2 linked regions of the Tamandua tetradactyla genome follow. The protein of the gene in region 1 purifies or fractionates together with the protein of each later gene. This does not show direct contact. Links are inferred from orthologs where the notes say so. Each region holds a gene or a part of one and is shown on either strand. Other genes may lie near its edges.

Region 1 (8,072 bases):
TTGTCTGAAACCAGTGAAAAGTTAAATTTCACTGTGGTTTTTCATAACTCCACCAGTTCTGGCTCCCACAACCACTTATCATTGGAACATCCAAACACAAAGGGCAGATGTTTTATTTCAGTGTCATCTTATCACTTGGATAATCGGATGTCAAATTTTTTTAGATGTGTGTGGGGTGGATATTTGAAGTATTGAAACAGAAAAAGGGAGGAAATATGAAGGAATCCAGAGGGTTGAAGGAATCTATTTTTAAAGCTACAGGCTCCAGGAAAGACTTGGATCATGATGGGGAGGGGGGAAAATGACAATTTATGCCCCGAGATGAACTTTATTAGGAAAGAAGAAATGGGAAAAATCAGCTCTTTCTTCAAGGAGGCAGGCAACTCCTGCTGGTTGATAAGGCCCCAAGCTCTCAGGAGGGGAGCTAAGCCACAGAAAGGCCATTAAAGGGACCCTCTTCCCAGCAGACACCTTAGGCAGGCCTGGCTCCTCCAATCAGCACCATATCAGGTCTGTGGGATCCTTGTGGTTAGTTGAAGTTAACAAACCCGGTGTGGTGCTGCGGTCCCCTGCTCAGGGCATGCATATTAAAGCCAACAATGCTTACAAATGTAAATAAGGCCAGATTGATTAGGGACAACATTATCGCTGGGAATGTCGCACTCGCATGCATCAGCAATGAGGCAAATTGGGGGCGGCCTCAGCCCTGACCACCCAAGTCGAGCAGGCTTTTTACACTAGCTCCTCTTCCCTTTCTTAAAACCTTACAGAAACAAGGCCAATTAGATCCTCAAAGTAATTCATCTCTGCGTATGAAAAAAAGCAGACCACAGGGGAAGCGGCGGGTGGGGGGTGGAGAGATTAAGATAGCGCTTGTTAGAGCCCATGCTCGGGATTGCGTTCTGGAACCAATGGGTAGAATTTACAGGCCGAGACCATTGTCTGCAATTCTGAAAAGTTAACCTATCAAACAGCGGGCAAGAGGGCTCTGGGCGCTGAAAACCTCGCGGATCAATGTTCAAAACGTTTGGGAATTAAGTCAAACCGAGGGGAATGAGTCCGAGTGGGAAAAGCTTTGCCATTAAAATGGTGCACATAAAGCAGTAGCCAGAACAGGAGTACCTGAAGCTGCCTGCGCGGATTTAAACGTTGCTACGATTTGTACATAGCCTAAAATTTCATGCTAGAATTCCATAATCCAAGTAGGGGCACTGAGATTCCTATAAATAAAAGGCTGGGAGGAAAAGCTGATCTTTTGGTTTAAAACATTGTAAAGAAATTTGAAAAGATGAACATAGTAACGTATCCGTGGGGTACCTGGTGTGAAGCTACGGCTATTACCCCCAAGTCTTTAAAAAACAATTTCCAACAGCAAGCACGAAGTGGCCTGACTTCAAAAGTTTGCAGAAATCGTTCAGGAAGAAAAATTAGAATAATAAATCGCCCTTCCTGCTTTATGTTATTTATCAAACGTAATAAGGATTAGGATTTTGCTCAAAGGTTAAACTGACTACGTGTCGAGCCCGACCTTCCTGCAATATTATTTATTAATGCCGTGTCATTTAAATTGCACCGTGCTTGTTTTCCCTTCAGGGTTTTAGCAGACCTTTCCAAGAGCCGGCACACAAAATCACGTGTTCCTTGGAGTCAGGGGTTTTGAATTTCCGCGCTGCTCCGGTACTCGAGTCCTCCTCCTGCTCCCGGAACACCCCCCAGATACTTCTAATCTCTTTGTCTCTCTTTATTCTCCAGGACACCCAGGGTAACCGGGAAGGAGAAAAAGGTAGAGGGAATGAGGCGAGGCTGACGAGGGAAGGGTAGATGGGTGAGAAAGAAAAAGGGTTAGAAGGAAAAGATGAAGGGAAAGGAAAGGAAAGCAAATAGGGAGGAGGGAACCGTAGGCTGAAGGAGAGGGAGGAAGGAAGGGGGCGGGGTGGGCTGGCGGACAGGCCCCCTGCGGGAGCCGCGTGGGCCGCCCCGGTGGCCCGCGCGCCCCGCTGCAGCCCTGCGCGGGCCGGGGCCGGCAATGCGGGGCCGCTGAATGGGAAGGACCAGAGCGCGCAGCTATTGGCCAGCCGCGGGGGGGCTGGGCAAGCTTTGGGCGACGTAAGGGGGCCGGACTGCCTTCAGGAATGTACTACGGCGTGTTCCGCACGTCCATCGGTGCAGGCGGGCGCGCGCCTCGCCCAGGCTCCAGGGAGTCCCGGCTGGAGCAGCCGGCCCAGCGCACCGACTCTTCCTGCCTGCTTGGCTTGGACCTCGGGCGCGGGGAGTCCAAGAACCCGAGCGCGCGCGCGCACCCGTACACACACGCGCGCGCACAGGCCTCCCGGCCGCCGAGGCGGCGACTAACGCGCGGGCTCTGCCCCGGGTCACGTGGCCCGCGGACTCCGCCTCCTCCCCCGCTCCACCCCCTTTCTCTCCATCTGGGTTTCTTTCTTTCCTTTCCTTTCCTTTCTTTCTTCTTTTTTTTTCAATGAACACACACCGTGTGCATCTTAAAGCTATACTGCTCCATTTCACGGCCTCAGTTGGCTCCTCGCTGCCGCGGATTTCTTTGCAGTTCAAACTTAAATTTTGCAGTTTAGAGATAAAAAGAAAGAAAAACGATTGAAACGAGGTATGATTCAGGGATCTGGCCCCTACCACAGGGAGGAATTGAATAACTTGCGAACGTAAGAAAAACAAAATCCACCAGCTCGAAAAAAATTATTTTAATGTAAAGCGGAGCTGTTTAGACAGTTTGATTTGTCTCTGGCCCCAGGATCCACCCCCAAAGGGTCCCGGGCTTTCTTCCCCAATGGGAAGTGAATCCCCGGACTATATTGGTGACAGTGGCCGCAAGGTTGGGACAAGTCCTCGCGATCAGCGCACAATTTGTTTCGAATGAAGAATCCAACATCATAGCCTTTATTCTCCCCTGGTACGTTGCGCTACTACTAAATATAACAGGATGGCTACGGTTTTTGTAAAAATCCGTTTAAAACTGACTTTCAATAAATAAGGACATGAGACTGGCGAAAAAAAAAAGATGGGAGATGACTCCGAATGAACCGCAAATAACCAGGGCAAGGTTTCTGTCCTCAGAAAAACAACTGCGTTTCTCTGGGCTTTTGAAAGGATTCTGTTGTTTCTCCTTTTATTTATGTTACATTTAAGATTCAAATAAAAAGCGCCTCTGCCTTCACAAGACTGCTTCGGGTGTCTGGATTCAACGTTTATACAACAGGGACTCCGGACTCCTTCAAACCAGGGTTGTGTGGTCGTGGGGTTTTCCGGGGGTTTGGGGTGGGGAAGCGGGCTCTTTGGGAGGCGGGCAATTTTAAGAAAGGGGGCTTTTCTCAATGTCCTCATTTTCCTCTTTAACTTCCCATTTTGTTTATCTTAATGCGAGGCGTTTTTCCCTGCGAGAGTCTAAGTCTTCCCTTTAGTTATAAAAGAAAAGAGAAGAAGGGGGAAAAAAAATCTGGCACACACTGGTGCACTATCCGCCACCCTGTCATTATCGGCGCAGGCCTGGGAATTCAAGCCGGACCTCCCAGTATCTGCTGCAGCTTGAGGCCAGGGTGCCTCTGAAAGGGTTTTCTTTGAGGAATTTCAGAAATTGTTTAAGCGCTTAAAAAAATATTACATTTTTCCCGTGTCTGTCGCGAAGCAAATACGAGTGTGTGTGTGTGTGTGTGTGCGCGCGCGCGCTAGTGTGTGCGCGCAAAAGGCGACTCACAAAAAGAAGACACTGTTGAAAAGAAAAGGAATAAGAAAGAAGGGAGGGGGGTGCATTCCTTAATGGAAGTATTGCATGCGAGAAGGTTGGCGCTCTCGGAGGCTCCCCCTGAAGCCGGGGATGCACACACTGGGGTTGCCTACCTGGGTGGTCTCTCTACTTTGGTGAGCTGTTGCTAAGCAGCTAATAATAGTCATGTTTGCTGAGTAATTTCTGCCCTCCGCGAGCCAATCGCGTCGCAGAAACCCAAGCCATCTGACAGCCCCGGGGGCGGGAGCTCCAGCCTTTTTCTCTTTCGCTCGCTCTTTCCCCCTCCACCCCCTCCCCTCCTCCTCCTCTTTCTCCAAATGGAGAGAGTTCTTTTTTTTCTTCTTCCATCTCATCTATTGAATCAAGGAGCTGCTGCGGCCGCTGCCCGCTGCACACACACAGAGCGGAGTCCTCAGGTCCCGGGAGCGAGAGAGGCGCGCTGCACGGGGGCAGAATGGTCCAGCGAGTCGGCGAGGAGCACAAGAAAGCAGAGTCCGGGACCAAGCAGCCACCGCGAACCCAGCAGCCAGAGCCCGAGCAGCCCCAGAAGCCCGAGCAACAGCTTCAGGAGCCGCCACGGCCAGCAGCAGCAGCAGCAGCAGGAGCACCGGCAGCAGCAACAGCAGCAGCAGCAACCTCGAGAGCAGCAGCAGCCGCGGGAGCAGCAGCAGCGACGGTGGCGGCGGCTGCCCCCGCCCGGCAGCGCTGAGAGCCGCCGGGCAGCCCCGGACCCCGCGGCGGCCGCGGCAATCCTGCGCTTGTCCTCCCCAGCAGCTGGGGCGACCCGGGAGACGCCGAGGGAGTCAGCCCCGCCGGCGGGAGCGGCGGGGTTTTGCTCGTGCTTTCTGCAGTGAAGGGGTCGAGGTGCTGGGTCGAGGGGCGGGTTGGGGGCCGCAAGGAGCCACCGCGGAGCGCCGGAGGGACAGGTTCGCCCCGCGCGCCAGCTCTCGCCCTCCCGCGAACTGGATGTGGGCAGCGGCGGCCGCAGAGACCTCGGGACCCCCGCGCAATGTGGCAATGGAAGGCGCAGGGGCTGACTCCCCGGCAGCGGCCGCGGCCGCAGCGACAGCAGCGCCCGCCGTGTGAGCCGGAGAAGCAGGTCTGTCAGCCCGAGCGCGAGCAGCCGGGGGCCAGCAGCGTCCTCGCGAGCCGAGCGCCTGGGCGCGCTGGGAGCTCGCAGCGGCGGCAGCAGCAGCGCGCCGGGCAGCCCGGGAAGCCTCGGTCCCCGCGGCGGCGGCGGCGGCGGCGGCAACATGGCCTCGGCTGGTAACGCCGCGGAGCCCCAGGACCGCGGCGGCGGATGCAGTGGTACTCCCGACCGACCGGCCGGCGGTGGCGGCGGCGGCGGCGGGAGGCGCAGACGGACCGGGGGGCTGCGCCGCACCGCCGCGCCGGACCGGGACTATCTGCACCGGCCCAGCTACTGCGACGCCGCCTTCGCTCTGGAGCAGATTTCCAAGGTGCATTTCAGACTCTCTTCTCCTCCCACTCTCTTTTCCCTCCTCTTCCTCTTTGGGACGCCCCCGCCACACACACACGCACGCACGCACGCACACACACACACACACCCCTCCAGCAAAAGAAGTAGACAAGTGGGGATTGAAAAATTCAAACCCTCCCTCCGGTCTTGGGAGGAAAGGGCTGTCTGAGGGCCACAGGGGGTGGAGGTGTGTGTGTGTGTGTGTGTGTGTGTGTGTGCGCGCGCGCGCGCGTGTACACGCGCCCTCCCCGGCGTTCCTTTCTGGAAAACTGGAAAGCGATCCACAGTCGACCACCTCGAGGGCAGCCGCGGAACTGCCCTGCCCCCGTGCCCCTGCCCCTGCCCCCCTCCTGCTGCACCCCTGCCACTATTTGCAGCCTAAACCCCTGTAAAGCCACATTTCTTAACATCTTGAAGGGGGAGGCGGAGTGGAGGGAGGCGGAGAGAGGAAGGGGGGGAGGGAGCTGAAATAAAGGTGGTTTCCTTTTTTGGCAGCCGGTTTTGCTTTTGTCGAGCATGAATCTCTGCTCCCTTAAAAATTATCTTCGGGAGAGGGCATCCCCCCTCTTCTTTGACGGTTTTTGAGCCGCCTATTCTCAAAGCCTGGGGAGAAAGGGAACGTTGTAAACAAATTGCCACCTTAAATCCGCAGTGCGGGTCTATGGAGCGGCCGGGTTCATTGTGTTTACGAGGCTCGTTGAAATGTGTGGAATCCGGGGAAGGCAAGCACCCAGACGGGGGCCCGCCGGGCCCGGGGTCGCGGCCAGCGCGGGGGAAACGCCGCCGCCGGGAGGAACCAGCGCCCCGCCAGGACCCCCGCCTGCATCGGCCTGGGCCCTTCCCCAGGGCACTCGGGTGGTTTTTTACGTTTAACCAGAAGGGAAGGGAGAGGAGGGAAAGATCCATGTGGCTGCCCTCTTCCGATCACAAATATTGTCGTAAGTTGGAGATGGCTGCCCCACTTCCTAATTCAGCTCACACAGCCGCATGGAAATGCATCGCGAGTGAGCTCCGGTCGCCGCGCTCACCACGTGGATCCTCGTTTGCTACCACGCCGGGCGGGGGGTTTAGATGCGGGAACCCGCAATACATTGTTAACAAAGCGCGCTCACCCCCCTGCCCCCGGTCCCTGCCGGGGCACCCCGAGCTGGTGATGGCTGGAGCAGGATCTACTGGGAAGGGGAACTGGGTTGGCTTGTTCTTAAAAACTGGGCTCCACCCGCAGGGATTATGTACCCCCATCCCTCTTCCCTAACCCAGGGTAAATATTGCCAGTGTTAAGCGATTTCGCTTCTCTCTTCCTCGGCTTCCTCCTCCGGGTGTCCTGTCCATCCTAGGCCCCCAAGTCACGCTTAGGGATGCTGCGCCGGACGTGCGTGGGGGTGCCCCTCCTGTCGCCGAGATGCAGCTCCCACGCTGCAGCCGGATTTATAATTTATGACCAGCCCCCCTCCCACCCACCCCCGCCACGCCGCTCGCGTTACCTCGGGCCGGACTGGGTTCCAGCCCCGAGGGCGAGTCGCTGCGTCGCAGCCGCCCGAGGCCAGGGCCGTCGGGGGATCCTCGGGCGGGTGTGTGCGACCGGGCGTGGGTGCGCGCGCGGGGACTCTCCAGCACTCACTCCTCACTTCTGCTTCGTCCCTAGGGGAAGGCTACTGGCCGGAAAGCGCCGCTGTGGCTGAGAGCGAAGTTTCAGAGACTCTTATTTAAACTGGGTTGTTACATTCAAAAAAACTGCGGCAAGTTTTTGGTTGTGGGCCTCCTCATATTTGGGGCCTTCGCTGTAGGATTAAAGGCAGCTAATCTCGAGACCAACGTGGAGGAGCTGTGGGTGGAAGGTAAGATACTCAGCGCTGGCTGCTGCGCCCTTCTTTCCCCCAGTCCCCAGTCCCCAGTCCCCCTTCCCTGCCTTTCAGTTGATAAAGATATTTACCAGAATACACCTAGAGCCTTTCAGTAAAGAGAGAAAAACCCTTGCCCACACCAGGGGGAATTGTTTATTGTTTGGGCGCCTGGCTAGGAGCCAGGCCCGCCCGACAAAGGCCGCGCTGTAATCTACTCGGGGCGCTGCGCTCTGCTAGGTGTTGTGGGAGAGAGTGGCGAGGGCGGGCTGGCGGGGGCGCAGGGCCCCTCTGCGGGACGGACCACTCCGCACGGCCGGGGGTCCCCCGGGCCTGGGCCCGCCAGGGTTCGGCTGGTGCAGCGCCCCAAGACGCGGCTAGGGTGAAGGGCTCTTGCGTCTTGGGTCTCCTCCTCAGCTTCATTCCCTCCCCCGCCCCCACCCACCTCGTCCAAACAGAAAGGAATGGGGTGGAAGAAAAAAGCCACCCCTCCGGCTGGAAGGAGTGCGCGCGCCTCCGGCGGCCGCGGCCGCTGCGCTTGGGGAGGGCGGAGGGGCGGGCGGAGCGCCGGCCTGCGGAGGCGGCTGCGTGTGTGGTCCTGTTTTTGGACGGCTTTCAACTCTGGGGGAAAAAAACATTTGTCTCAAGGTACAAAAAAAAAAAGGGTGTGTTGGGGGGGAGGAGTTGAAAAAAATAGTAAAGCAGACTGGAACGCATGTTTGCAAAGTAGATTAATGTTTCCTCGCGGGTGGGGGCTTTTTAGAAGGTATTATTCTGGGGGGAAGCTGCATTTTGCAGGCAGAAAGAAGAAATGTGTTTTAAGAACGCCTGTTTGGAGGGAGGGGCCGCAGACTCTCCACGTTCCTCAATTTGGGGATTCTTGGGGCCTTTTTGAAAAGCAACTGTTAATTTAAAATAGATTTTTGGTTTTCTTAAGACAGAAACAGTTTATATTCTTTTGGTGATACAGTATTTTTTGTTTGGTGTTTGGTTTTTT
Region 2 (8,012 bases), on another chromosome or scaffold:
GGGCTGAAAGGGGTATCACTGTGCACAGGCAGCCCCCCATTTCACAAAGGTAGAAACCAAGGGAGGCCCAGAGAGGATAAGCGAGCTTCCCCGAGCCCCTTGTGAACTGGCATTGAAGGTGGTTTAGAAGCCAGGACCCCTGTCTTCCAGCGACACAACGAGAAATGGGTCTGAATCCTTGAGTTCTAAAGGGTGATAGAAGAGGAGGTCTCCATGCCAACTCAAAGTGGCACCGTGCCCAACAGCTCCTGTCCCCTGGCCCTCAGCAGTCAGAGAGTCAGGGACCAGCCACAAGGAGGGTGCCAGGATGAGCCACCCCGAGGTGGTGCCAAATGGCAGCTTGTCATTGGGACAAACCGTGGTCTCTCCCCTGACTCTGACCTTGTGAGCGTGGGGTTAGACAGGCCCCTGGGTCGGATGGGAGTTCTGGGCTCGAGCTACCTCCTCCAAGCACTAGCTTTCCCAGGGCAGCTCTGTTTGCAGCCCCAGCCGATAGAGAGGGGGCTGGGGCCTGTGAGCTGTGACAGCTGACGGCACTGGGAACTGTCCCGCTGCTTCCAGGCCAGTGACCCAGACCCATGGCTGTCCGGACAATGGGTGCCAGCCAGCACATTCCACTAAACTGTGCGCAGAGGCAGCTGGAGGTGGGCAGAGAGGATGAGGCATAGCAGGGAAAGAGCACTGGCCTGGGAGTTCAAAGCTCTGAGCCTCCCCTCTTTAAGCCTCAGTTTCTCCAAGTTTTCAGTGGGGGGAAAATACCACCCGTTGTGCTGCCAGGTATACCAGTGCAAGGCAGAGCCCTTCCCTGGGCTTTAGGACGCTGGCATTCAGCACTGGAGCCTGGAGCCCCAGTCACAGATACAGGTGGTTTGCCCAAACCATGCTGCCAGACGGTGACCCTATACTCGGGCCATGCCACCTTGCTCTCAGACTCCTGCCTGTGCCCTAACACAGCCCACCTTATTCCCACTCAGGAGGAGATAGCGTGGTCTTCTGATGTTTCTTGAGCAACTACTCCATGCCTGGCATGGTCTGGCCAACTTCACAGCTTTGCTTTTTGGATCAACTGAGATGACAGGTGTCAAAATAAATAATAAGCTAGGATAAGTTCCACCATCATTCCTATCAGCACCATCACTACCACGGGCGACAAAGGAGACAGGAAAAGAGGAACGTCTCGTTTCTCAGGGTTCTAACACCTGCACCGCCGACCCAAGGCGGGGCCCCGCCAGGAGCAGTGCACTCTGGGGAGAGATTACCCAAACGCAGAGAGTTCCAGAAAAGGCCCCACCCCATACTTCTCAGAACTCCAACCTGCAGGAGGGTCTCAGGCTACTACCACCAAGAAGAGACGATGTGAGCCCTAGAGGCTGAGCACACCCTGAGCCCCCCACTTCCTCCCTCATGGCTTCGTCATTTCTGAACTCATTTTTGTTCTAACTGTCTCTTCTCCCTGGACAGGCCCTAGCTGACAGTCAGTTCTGGTTCCTGTTTTGAGAAATCTGATTGCAAACGTCTTAGCAAAAAAAAAAAAAGGGGGGGTGGGTGGCCCAAAATGCAGACAAATTTTCCTCTCCCAGGCTTGGTATTCAGTCAATCTGAAACCCCCCCTGGGGAGGTACACTAGCAGAGGCTGAGCTAGGTGCCTCGAAGCCTCAGGACACTGCAGAGCCACAGCCTTCACTTCACACCTTCCACATTTTGCAGATGAGAAAACTGAAGCCCAAAGTCAGGAAGGGACTTCCCTAAAATCACACGATGAGGCCGGGGCAGCCAGGGGTGGGCCCAGAGTCCGGCTGGGGCCACAGAGGCCACCTCTGCACAGAGGGAGATATATAGAGGGGACCGGCCTCACCCCGTGACACGAGGACTGGTTGGGGGGCACACAGCTCTTGCAGGAGCAGAACATCCAGGCCCTGGCTGAGGCCAGCCTGGTGGCAGAACCTATAACAAGACGCCAGGGGCCCTGATGGGGGGACCCCGATTGCACACTGGGTAACGTGTGTGGCACCGGACAGGTGTCCTACCCACCCCGGGGGACTGCTGTGGGGCTCCAGCAACGGGGAAATGGTCCGTAAGCCACCAAGCACCGGGGCAGCCACAGCTACCCTCTGCATCCTGTACGCTTCGGCGCCTACATCCTGAACAGCCTTAAACTTTGATACCAGGCACGATGACACGAGCTGTCTCACAGAGGGGTGGCATCTGTGGCCCAGGTGCGGCAGAGGTGCGGGGCTGGCCCCTGGTAAACGACCCACCTGGGCAGGGCGCGTGCCCCACGGTGCCCCCAGCCCACCACACCAAACCCAGCCCCAAGACAGTGATCCCGCAGCAGGAGCAAGGAAGGGTCCTGAGAAGCTGCCCTGAGGCTGGCTGTCTCCCTCCAACTTCACTCAAGTAGAGACTGGGGTGTGGGGGGGTGGGGGGGAGAGCACCCAGCTCCCCTGCAAGGCGTGGAAGGGAGCTGGGAGTAGGGACAGCCAAAGGATGGGGGCTATCAACAGGCCAGGTAAATGGTGGCCCGCAGAGGGGAGGGGACCCCACGGGGACCATGGGATGCTCCGAGGAGGACAAGGGGGAGAGTGATGGGGCTCTGGGGGTGGGTGGGGGCAGAGGGCAGGAGCGAAGGGCTGACAGACCGAGGGACCGGCAGAGTGGGGCAGTGGGGGGGGGGGGTGGGCCCTGGAGTTGAGGCGCTCGGGGCTCAGGCGCACAGGGCCTGGGGTCCCGGGCTCCGGGGACCTGGGGGTCGACCCGGGGCGCGTGTGAGGTGCTGGGCCCGGAGCCGGGGCGCTGGGGCCGCGGGGGGTCAGGGGGGTCGGCGCTGGGGGGGGCCGGGGCTGCGGGGCCGGGGCCCGGCGGGCTCACCTGGGCTCGGGCAGCAGGATCTTCTTGCTGGCGCGCGCGGCCGGCGTGGCCTTGCTCTTCTCCATGGCCATCAGGTAGCTCACGTCGGCCAGCACCGCCTCCAGGTCCGCCATCTTGGCGGCGGCGGCGGCTGCTCCTCCCGCCGCTCCCGCTCCCGCTCGCTCGGCGCGCTCGGCCCGGCCCGGCCGCCGCTCCGCTCGGCCTCGGGCGCCGCCGCCGCCCGCCCGCCCGCCCGGCCCCGCCCGCCGCCCGCCGCCCGCGGCTCCGCTCGGCCGCCGCTCACAGGCGGCGCCGCCCCATGGCGCCAGCTCGGGCCCGGGCCCGGCTCCCGTCCGCTCCCGCCGGGACTGCAGTCCGGGCGCCGCCGCCCGCCCGCGCCCCGGAGCCGCCGCCGCCGCCGCCGCCGCCTCCGGCCCCGCCTGCCGCGCGCAGCGCCAGCGAGCCCGCGAGGGGCCGAGCCGGGCGGGCGGGCGGCGCGGGCGGCCGGGGACGCCCCCTGGAGGCCGCGCGGGCCGCCCGGCCCTGCCCGCGGAGCCGGGACCCCGACCCAGACTTGGGGGCACGATCCCGGATCCCAGCGGCCGCCCGCCGGTTGCCCGCGGATCTCCACCCTCGAGCCCCGACCTGGAACCGAAGAGGTTCGGGATCCGAAGAGGACCCTAAATTCAACTCGGATCCCAACGCCGGACCCCGGGACTCCACGGTCAAACCTCAGTCCTGAGGCCAGAGCTGTTCCGATCAAGACCCCAGACTCCCACTTCCGATCCCCGTCCACGATCTGACCCCAGAACGCCAACAGGACCCCAGATCCAGAGCTTGATCATGAGACCTTGACCCAGATCACAACCCGGGACCCTGACTCCACACCAGGACCACGACACGGACCCCAGATCTGGACACAATCGTGACCCCAGCGCGCCAACAGGACCCCAGATCCAGACTTTGGACCTTGACTTCAGACGCTGGTCACATCCCCAGACCCAGAGCGCTCCCTTGACCCTGATCCCCACACTCGGGGTCAGGGCCCAGACCTGGACTTGAGTCCTGGACCTGCCACCCAGGATGCTGGACATATAGCCCAAGGCCAGGGCACCCCACCCTGGACCAAGACTGGATGAAGAACCCTTATAGGGTCACCAGGTCCCAGCACCTGGACCTGACAACTGCCCCAGACTCCACTCCCCACCCCTCTTTCTCCAGACCTGGCTGCAGGACTCCCACTCAGGACCACGGACCCTGCACACAAACCAGCCCCAGCCCACCCCAGACCCAGGCCCCTGACCTGCACACTTGGGTCAGCTTCCCTCCCTGCATCCCATCCCATTCGCGATGATTCCACAACGTGGGATCAGATCTCCCCCCCCCAGCCTGGGAGGGCACAGGGGTCTCAGTACTACCTGGCAGAGGAAGCCCACCCTGCTGAGAGCCCACCCAAGCAGGTGGCTTAAATCTGTGTGTCTCTAGGCAATGCGCACACACACACACACACACAGAATCTCAACATACCCCACTCTGGATCTCCTCCCCACTTCCTTTGGCAGCAGGTTCGATCCCCATGGCAGTTGGTGGGCCAGCCACCAGGAAGGATGCACTTGCAAAGCAAGGATCCCACCCTCATGGGCTTCTTGGAGAAGGAGTAAGCCCCTCTGGCTAGGGAGCGCAGACCAGTCCTGGCAGAGCCTAGAACTGAGTGTGTCAGGGAGGTGAGCTCCCCTTCTCACTGGGTGGCACCGCCGTCCCTGCAGATACACACCCAAGTCAGAACTGCAGGTATCATCCCAACCCCTCCCTCTTCTCTCACCTTTCCCTACTCTAATTTATCACCACGCCATCCTGGGCTGGCCTCCTGAAAATCCTCTCGGACCACCAGTCCACTCCTTGGGGGTTGCTGCCCTGATGCAGGGCCTAACCACAATTGCCAGTCCCAAATCTAGAGCTCCTGGGTCACCACTTATTAAGCATGAAGATGCAGCTCTCTAGGACTTTGGGAGCTGCTGGGAGTGGGGGACCCACTTAAGCCCAAAAGCAGATCAGGTTGAGTTGAGTCTTGGATGGCTGGGCCCTGCCCTCATGTCCCACTACTGCTCGTTTTGCCACCATCCTCTGCACCTAAGGTTACCCCAAGCAGACTGCTAATCAGTTTTCACCTGCACGCCCTATGCCTGGAAGCCCTTCTTTGTGCCTTCTTTCCTGACGTTATAACTCCTGCTTGTCCTTCAAGACCCACCTCCTCCACGCAGCCTTCCATGATGCCCTAACCCCAACTGTGTCCATCCCTGATTCTGCACTCACCACCCTATTTCCTTGATTTGAAAACATCATCAGTTGTAAGGTGCACCACTGACAGTGAGGGGTGGGGCTTTATGGAACGTTCGCATCACTGGAGAACACATCCTGACATAGGAAATGCTCAAGCATGAAAATATAAAGGTAAATCTCACTGTAATCAACGCTCGGGGTTCATCTCTTCCCCCCTAGGCCTAGTTTGGCACCCATAACAGAAAGGCCATCAGTCAATATTGGATGAAAGAATGAGTGACCAAGTGCGTGAACTCCCTAGCCCGAGGTGACACATGGAGACGGAGGCAGCACCCGGGCCAAGGTGCACAGCAGGGGGCCCCTAACTCTCCCCCACCCCCTGACTCCTTGGGTTTTCTGGGCAGCCCCTATTTGAGAGATTCTGCTTGATAAACTTGTCAGAACAGGTTCTGCCTGTGGGTTCTGAGTTTGCCAGCCATCCTGCCCCGGGAGCTGGTCCTGCCCTCTCCCCACCCCCCGCCACCTCATAAAACCCTGACAACCCCTCCCGCCCTTGGCCCAGCCCATACCCCTAGCCTCATTGATTCCCGGGACCCAGAAAAGTGGGAGAAGTTGGTGTGACTGCCCGGCCCGGGTAGAGGTGGGGACCGGAGCCTGGTTTGGGGGGCAGTGCTGCCCTCTGGTGGTTCTGGGTAGGTCGGCAGGTAGACTTGCCTGGGTGTCAGACTCCAGGCATTCCTTCTTGCAACAAACCCTCATCCGGTTCCCAGACGGGGCCAGGCTGTGGCTGGGAGGCTGGCAGTGCCAAGAGCCATGGACCACCCTCCATCTCTGCCTGGGTGGCAGACGCATAGACGCTTTATTACTTGGCACCCACCCTGGGTGACTAACAGGTGCTGCAAGTGAAACATCCCACACTGAGCTCTCGCCACCGCCAACCAACCCCCTGCCCACCCTGCTTCTCTCCCGCACCCCCATCTCAGTCATGGCTCTTTCATCTTCCAAAAACCCAGGAGTCGTCCTCAGTATATTTCTGTCCCCTTCCCCACCCCACCCCCACACGCATACGCTGTAGTCCAGACTGACCTGTCAGCTACCTGCTGTGACTGTCTCCAAAATGTACCCTGAATCCTTTGACAGCGCCCTGCTAAAGCCCAGTCCAAGTCCCCATCACCTCTCACTTTCTGGCGAGGTGGGCTCCTGCTCACTCTGCTGTCTCATTGGCTGAAAGGTTTCCTTGGCGTCCCTGCCGTCACGGCTGTGTCCCTCATACCCAGCATGGCTCCTGGCACAACGCGAGGGCTGCAGGGGGAAATCGGACTCAGCGTTGGCCCAGTCTGATGGGAAAGAAGGCCCCTAATCATATACAGTCTTATCCATTATTCACGGATTCTGTAGTTGCAAATTCACCAACTGGCGAAAATGACTCTGTTCCCCCGAATTGATATTGGCAGCGCTTTGGCGGTCATTCACAGACACGTCCAGAGCAGACGAAAATTTCCAGCTGAGGTTGAACACCTTGACTCTTGGACTTGTCATTTCAGTTCTCATGCTGCTAAACAAGTGTGTTTTTCATGATATATTTAGTGCCATGTTTTTTGCGCATTTTGGGGGGTTGCTCTTTTGTTGGTGATTTTGCTGTTTAAAATGGCCCCCCCAGCGTAGCGCTGAAGTGCTGTCTAGTGTTCCTAAATACACGAAGACTCCGATGTACCTTACAGAGAAGGCACGTGTGTAAGAGAAACTTTGTCGAGGTGTAAGGTAGAGTGCTGTTGGTTGCAAGTACAGTGTTATGAATCAATAATATATATTGAATTAGATGTCTTTAAACAAAAACACACCTAATTGTGGAATTGTAACCCACACCAAACTCTGAAATCTGTTCTGCGGCTAATTGTCATGCTGTGCTTGGAAATTTATTGCTTTTTTGTATATATGTTATTTTTCACACAAAAAAAGAAAAAAAGTTAATTGTGATGATTCAGAAAATATTTATTCCTTCTAGCCTCCTATATTCTGGAGCAGCTAGAAGGAAAAATCTGAGAGGATCATATGGTAGCCCATGACAAACTCTGGGATCTGTCCTCTAACTACTCGCTGAAGAGTGCTTTGAAAACCATTGGTTTTTTCTTGCTTTGCTTTGCATATATGTTATATCATACAATATATATATGTTATACAATAAAAATAATTGTACAATAAAAAATTATACAATAAAGAAGTAAAAAACAACAACAAAAACCAGAAAAGCCTAAAACAAGGTTATGTATTGACTGACAAAAAGGTGACCAGAGCTTGCAGGAACTTGTACTTCTCTTAGGGGCAAGGGTTCGGTATTCATTGCAACTACTGTGAATAATGAGAATAATTACAGCAATAATGCGAATTGGCTGTACCTCCAATTAATCTGGCAAGAGCTTTAATGCAAGGTGGAGGCACCCAGGAGAAGGCCGCCCGCTGGCCATTCAGGGCCAAGGGAAGGTCTTGCATGTGACAGTGTCTGCATGTGCCCGTGAATGGGCACAGGGTGGAGAGGGCATGTGCGGTTCTCTCCTGCCCGGGCCTGGCCTCACCATCTGTCTTGGTACCCAGCTTTGAAGATGGCAGAGTCTTCTCTGGCCTCACCAGGGGTACACTGGGCAGATCTGGAGAAACTCCTGCCTGACAGCGACAGCCACCTCTCATGCATTCCTCATTCCTTTGACAATATTTGTTGAGTGCCTACTACCTAGAGAGAGCCAGACGGTGAGCTTACAAACTATGCATAATGATAATAACCGTTGGGTTCTCACTCTATTCAAGAGCCTAGATGATCTCACTTAATGCTGGAAACATTCCTATGGGACAGGTGACAAGTTGTTACACAAGCAGGAGCCTCCCTAGAT

The links.
Region 2: the proteins of PTCH1 (region 1) and GRK2 purify together in Homo sapiens (affinity purification with western blotting; 3 studies listed by BioGRID and IntAct, with this or other methods). This does not show direct contact. The link is inferred for Tamandua tetradactyla from reciprocal best matches to the Homo sapiens genes PTCH1 and GRK2.

Annotation. Positions count from the first base shown.
Region 1 is NC_135328.1:122,452,456-122,460,527, reverse strand, and holds the start of PTCH1 (protein patched homolog 1), read left to right. Parts: upstream 1-5,007; coding exon 5,008-5,214; intron 5,215-6,021; exon of another isoform or gene 6,022-6,172; intron 6,173-6,879; coding exon 6,880-7,072; intron 7,073-7,600; exon of another isoform or gene 7,601-7,723; intron 7,724-8,072.
Region 2 is NC_135335.1:7,144,922-7,152,933, forward strand, and holds the start of GRK2 (beta-adrenergic receptor kinase 1), read right to left. Parts: upstream 3,014-8,012; 5' UTR 2,982-3,013; coding exon 2,869-2,981; intron 2,236-2,868; exon of another isoform or gene 1,856-2,235; intron 1-1,855. UniProt on the Homo sapiens protein: Specifically phosphorylates the agonist-occupied form of the beta-adrenergic and closely related receptors, probably inducing a desensitization of them. Key regulator of LPAR1 signaling.